Saccharomyces cerevisiae S288C: one gene and its partner. Changing the gene in region 1 together with any one later gene gives a genetic interaction. Each region holds a gene or a part of one and is shown on either strand. Other genes may lie near its edges.

Region 1 (2,704 bases):
AACCACTTGAAAATAAATCATAAGAATAGCATAAGCACCAGCTCAATTTAGATGTCTGTACAAAAAGTAATATATTTTAGAGATGAGCAGGCAGAACCACACATTAGTGACGATTGTCTTCGACCTTATGTGGAATCTTAAGCTTTAACATATAAGTAAAAATTTTTATTTTCAACAAAAGATTAGAACGAAATGAAATTCCTTAATTGAACCTTCTCTTGGATATCAATCTATTGGCAATCATTCCTAGAGAATATATTATTGAGTGAAAACTGTAGATACGTGCTAAGCGGTAAAGCCCTTATGAACATCGTCACACTATCTCTATATTGAGCCTCCGTAAATTTCGAATCATTTGAAATTCATTTTTCCTGGTAGGAAGATACTTGATAGTGGAGGATAAGTAAAGTAAATTGTGGTTATCATTTATTTGGTGGTAAAGTACCTTTTTTATGTTTTTTTTGAAGATGGAAATTCAGGCATTTTAAAAAAATAGAAAGCTCGAAATATCTCAAAAAACATAAAAATAGAGGAAGAATCCGCTGAATATACCATCTTTACAAACTACTTAACTATTTATTTTTAAATATAAAATTTTTAGTACCATCATCGGAGGATTGTTGCGATCGTATTTTTTTCTCCATTTTTTTCCTATATGCTATGCCACATCGACTACATAGCTCAACATTTCCATTAGGTCCACTTCTCCACTGAGAAGTCCAGGTGTCACCACAAGTGGCGCACTCTTTTGGTTGACCGTTGGGGAGTATAGTTTGTTTCTTCCTACTTTTAGGTCTATATCCTGCTAAAGATTTCTTTCCATTGGATGATATTGGTAGTGATGAAAAAGATGGGGCTGGTAGAATAGAGGGGTTATGCAAAGGCCCACCAAGACGACTTTCTTCCTTCAATTTTGGACTCAGCGCACTATTTAAGCTTTTGATCTTCTGTTCAAGAATATCTGCTCTTTTTAAATCTGGCGTGACACCAGATTTCGGGATACTGGCTACTGAACAGCAATAATTGGGATTAGCGGCAATGAACAGAACCATTTGTACAAAACGATCGAAGTGGAATTTCGTTCTACGACCAGAGCTACTAGCGCCGCTTGTTCCCTGCTCTTTGTTATATAACATAATATGATTTAAAAGTTCTATCACTCAGCACTACAACGCAGTATTTTTATTCTAGATGACCAGTATAGCAAATATTGTTACCCTTGAGATATTGGTAATTTAACCAAATCTCAAGTCATAAATGCCTCCCTTTTAAGTTTACATAGGCAGTGGACAGATTGGTACATCATATTAAAGGAAATAATGAACGCTAAAAAGAATGCCTTTTACTGACACATTCACTTTTAATACGAAAACGGATTTTGTGGTATATGACGTTGAGCACTGCGTGGTTTTCTGTGAATCCGCCGTGCCTAAAATGGACCCTTAATTATTTAACAATAGACCGGCCCGAATAATGTTAACATGAAGGGAAAAGTGCACATAACTGCAAACTACTTTGGTAGGTTGATTATCAGAGCTAAGCCATCCTACAGGTAATGATTTCCAAATTTTTTCTTAAGTAAAAAAGTTCAGAAAATAGAAGAAATATAAAATTTAAAAGGAATTACTGTTTACGAGACACATCGTTCATTCTTGGATAAATATACAAATCTACTTAAGAAAAAGCTTTCCTTATTTGTTGTTTCCTACTTTGTACCATTTGGTTTATTATATATCGTTGTGGAAAAGAAACTTGGTCTCTTGAATCTTAGTCGCAAAAGAAAATTTTTACCCACATAGGTAATGGAAAAGAGACAAAATTATTTCTGGACCTTATTCAAGAGGATGAATTTGAAGCATTTATTAATAATGAATATGATTGTGCGCTTCTAAGAAAAACTCACGGGTAATTTGGCTTAAAATGATTCACTAATGCCACGCTCAGATTCCACCAAATACGGTTAAAAAATCAAAAATAAATGAACTTCATTTGGTCATTTTTACTGCTAAAAAGTGGAAGATGAATTGCGGATGATATGAAAAATTTGAGTGAATAAACTATGAACGCGAAAAAAAGAATATATATGCGGAATAAAATATCAAAGTAAAAGATTCAAAGAGCATGTCTAACTTATAACATATACGGTCGAAGTCACCAAATGAATATTGTTATTTTCACTATAGTTAATCGCATTTTATACTGATGTTTTAACAGGGTTCGTTAAATTAAACAATATTTTACACAGGTGCTTCAGGAACATCATTATGATGATCATGTAAAGCGTTATCATCAGTGGTCTTACCAGGAGATTCAAGATTTTCATCTGTTGACTCTTGTTCTTGTTCTTCTTTTTCTGTTCTCAAGAAGTAGTATATTCTATCCGTCAAATCTTCGTCATTAATAAGTTCATTAATCTCATTCCATGAAAGCTTTTGAAGCTTATTGAAGCTCTTGATCTTTTTGCGGAGATTGAAATAATCAATTTTTGACACTCCAGGAACATTCAACAGTCTCTTGAATTTAGACTCGTTATCACCATCCTTCAGGCCCTTTGCAGTGCTATTAAAATCCGATCTAACTTTATTCGTTCCCAATATAACTGCATTACTAGGGTCAGGTTGCTCACGTCCTAATTTCAACTCTAGGATTATATTTACAGTTTGCAGGGGTGAGGAAGACCATATAATCTTTAAAGTGGGAAACC
Region 2 (3,715 bases), on another chromosome or scaffold:
CTGCGTTAAGCGATGCGAAATTGCCGTCTGGAAATGACGATATGTGTGGAGAATGAGGAGGATTCCATGACGAATAAACTGATGAGGATGTGCTAACAGATGAGGTTAGTGAGGGTACCGATTCGTTGTTTTCTGATGCAGAGTCTGTTGTGGGAGATGTGGTAGCGTTATTTCTTTGCACAAGAGAAGATGGGAGCATAGCACGGTTGTGGGAGGAGGAAGAAAACATCACGTTGCAAGTATCGTTTACGGAGTGGGATAAGAGGTAGGAGGTTGTCATAGCGGTGCTTTCTTCCTGATGCATGGCAGAAGAAGTTGGCAGTAATTCGTTTATTATGGTGACATTGTCGTGATTAGAAAGGACTGTCTCTTTTACCATTGCCTCGGGTATGTTTTTTGGCGCCTGCCTTGAACTTACTCCAGAACAAGCCTCAGCAGAAGAATGACCGGAATGATTCCTCTTATACACGTTCCAGAGTGGAGCATTCTTGACATCATAAAAAAAGTTGCTGACAGGATCTTTGGACTGGTTGACGTTAAGTGGTTCCGTAGCTGGTCTGATGTTTTCTTGTACGGTATCACTGACGGCTGAGAAACCTTCAGAGGAACCGTTTTCGGGAACAGACTTGGAGGATTGCAAATTAAGCCATTGAAAGTCTAGCCCAACCTTGTTGCAGAAGGCCTTGAACTCCTGGAAAGATGTAGACATTATGTGGGCGAAAAACAAAATTAGACCAACGCTTTAGCAAATTTTTTCAACCTCAAATTGATATTTGAAGATTAGATCGGATGGTTTTTTTTCCTGTGGTGTAGGCCAAGCTTAAACAAGGTTTTAAGTGAAAGTGGAAATAATTGTGATAAACATGCGGAAAGAGTGCCAGCCTTAAATAATTCCGCATTGTTGCTATGTCGTTTTGTTTTTGTTTTTGTTTTCGTCTTATTGGTATTTGTTCATTTTACGACCACAAAGGATCCAGGGCTTCTACTTGCACAGGGAGGGTTGCTTGGTTAATACAATGCAAAGGTCAGAGATATTAAGATTTGTGAAGGGTGCATTCAATGAGTTTTTCCTTTAATGTGCCCTAGAAAGGAAGTAGTACGAACATTTCTCAGTCGGAGTTTGCCGGAAATTCGAATGACAGTGTAAGTTGATTTTTGTGGCACAGAGATAATGAGCGGTGGTTCTGGCACACATTTGTGACGTTGGTTTGATAGTGTGGAGGGAGGGTGAAAAACAGATAACAATGGTCTCTTGGCCCAGTTGGTTAAGGCACCGTGCTAATAACGCGGGGATCAGCGGTTCGATCCCGCTAGAGACCATTCTTTTTTTACATTTCTCGCAATGTGATTTATTTTGCTTACCCTTCCCACTGCCGTTACAAGGGAGGTGAACGAAGAGGCTTGTTAGCATAAGGTTTACGCGTTGCGGTTGTAAGCACAATGTTCTTACTAAACCTCTGAAGATTAATTATCCTAACGTATACTAATTAATTCAAAGAGAATATTTACTCGTTCTCTTTTCATCATTTTGTAACATAATTCTTTACGTATTTTCACTTCGTACTTTTTTCAACTTTTTTTGCCTTCGCTTCTTTTTTGTTGTAATTTTTCAATTTTTTTTTTTCATCGTTGGCCGTCTTTCCTTGTCCTTCATTTTCCTCTCGTAATAATCATTCAACTACGGTAAAGCATGCCTTTCCTTTTTTCTACTCTGCAGTTATTTTCATAATATCTACTGTTTCCATTTCGTGCTTTAAGTTAGAGTTTAATCTTCCCTTCTATCATCTTAATAGCAGGTTCATAATAAGAAGATTACCACATCTACTCTTTGTTCGATTCCAATGTCTGAAAATAACGAAGAACAACATCAACAACAACAACAACAGCAACCTGTTGCCGTCGAAACTCCCTCGGCAGTTGAAGCTCCAGCATCAGCAGATCCTTCTTCTGAACAGAGCGTCGCTGTCGAAGGCAATTCTGAACAAGCTGAAGACAATCAGGGTGAAAATGATCCTTCCGTAGTTCCTGCTAATGCTATTACCGGTGGTAGGGAAACTTCCGATAGAGTTTTATATGTTGGTAACCTAGACAAAGCTATCACCGAAGACATTTTAAAGCAATATTTCCAAGTTGGCGGACCAATTGCTAACATCAAAATCATGATCGATAAGAATAATAAGAACGTCAATTACGCTTTTGTTGAATACCATCAATCTCACGATGCCAATATTGCCTTACAAACATTGAACGGCAAACAAATTGAAAACAACATTGTCAAAATCAACTGGGCCTTCCAATCCCAACAGAGTTCCTCCGATGATACATTTAACTTGTTTGTCGGTGATTTGAATGTTAATGTTGATGACGAAACTTTAAGGAATGCCTTCAAAGACTTCCCATCCTACTTGAGTGGTCATGTTATGTGGGACATGCAAACTGGTAGTTCAAGAGGTTACGGTTTTGTTTCCTTTACTTCTCAAGATGATGCACAAAATGCCATGGACAGCATGCAAGGTCAAGATTTGAATGGTAGACCGCTAAGAATCAACTGGGCTGCTAAGCGTGATAACAATAACAATAATAATTATCAACAGCGTCGTAACTACGGTAACAACAACCGTGGTGGTTTCCGTCAATATAACAGTAACAACAATAACAACATGAATATGGGGATGAATATGAACATGAATATGAATATGAACAACAGCAGGGGCATGCCACCAAGTTCAATGGGAATGCCAATTGGCGCCATGCCATTACCATCTCAAGGCCAACCCCAACAATCCCAGACCATTGGTTTACCTCCTCAAGTAAATCCTCAAGCTGTTGACCACATCATTAGAAGTGCCCCACCAAGAGTTACTACTGCCTATATCGGTAATATTCCGCACTTTGCCACTGAAGCTGATTTAATTCCGTTGTTCCAGAACTTCGGTTTTATTTTAGATTTCAAGCACTATCCAGAAAAGGGCTGTTGCTTCATAAAGTATGACACTCATGAACAGGCCGCTGTTTGTATTGTTGCCTTGGCAAACTTCCCATTTCAAGGCAGAAACTTGAGAACCGGTTGGGGTAAGGAAAGATCAAATTTTATGCCACAGCAGCAGCAACAGGGCGGTCAGCCACTTATAATGAATGACCAACAACAACCGGTTATGTCTGAGCAACAACAGCAACAGCAGCAACAGCAGCAACAACAATAAATATTATGAAGAAAAGTGGAATGAAACAAAAAGAAAGAATAAAGAGAGGCAACCTACAAATCCCAAGATAAAATAAAAAAAGAACGACAAGAATCCATTCATTATATTATACTATTTTTAAAAAAAAAATTACTACGAAAAAGGGAGAGAAAAAGAAGAAGAAACTCAATTTACTATTGCTCGAAAAATAAAAGGGCCTATAAACTTACTCTATTTTTTTAGTTTTTCTGTGTCTTATTTCCTTCCTTCGTCACTGTTTAATTTTTAATACTATTATTTTCCTTTAAAATGTGAAAGTCATTGCTAATAGTGTGATAAAAATAAAGAACGTATTTTCTGAAGGCTTTCTTTATTATATTTCCTTTTTCCTTTCTTACCCTATTTTTTTTAAACATCCATCCCACTGTATTTTGTCGAGTCCATATATATAATTTTTGTTTTTATTTTTTACAACTTTTGTTAAGTATATAAAAATGCTACCTAGCGTTATGGAGACATGTCAGTCTTGAGTC

The links. Genes that interact genetically often act in the same process or in processes that back each other up.
Region 2: mutations in ECM23 (region 1) and PUB1 together harm fitness more than expected from each alone (negative genetic interaction), as found in Saccharomyces cerevisiae (2 studies listed by BioGRID).

Annotation. Positions count from the first base shown.
Region 1 is NC_001148.4:509,533-512,236, reverse strand, and holds ECM23 (Ecm23p), read right to left. Parts: upstream 1,137-2,704; coding exon 573-1,136; downstream 1-572. Other genes in the region: ssDNA endodeoxyribonuclease RAD1, read right to left, coding at 2,238-2,704. UniProt on the Saccharomyces cerevisiae protein: Involved in morphogenesis. May be involved in cell wall organization and biogenesis.
Region 2 is NC_001146.8:601,066-604,780, forward strand, and holds PUB1 (Pub1p), read left to right. Parts: upstream 1-1,841; coding exon 1,842-3,203; downstream 3,204-3,715. Other genes in the region: YNL018C (uncharacterized protein), read right to left, coding at 1-709. UniProt on the Saccharomyces cerevisiae protein: May be associated with hnRNA within the nucleus and remains associated during nucleocytoplasmic mRNA transport, once the proteins are in the cytoplasm, disassembly of PUB1-RNA complexes may occur prior to PAB1 binding and formation of a translationally competent RNP complex.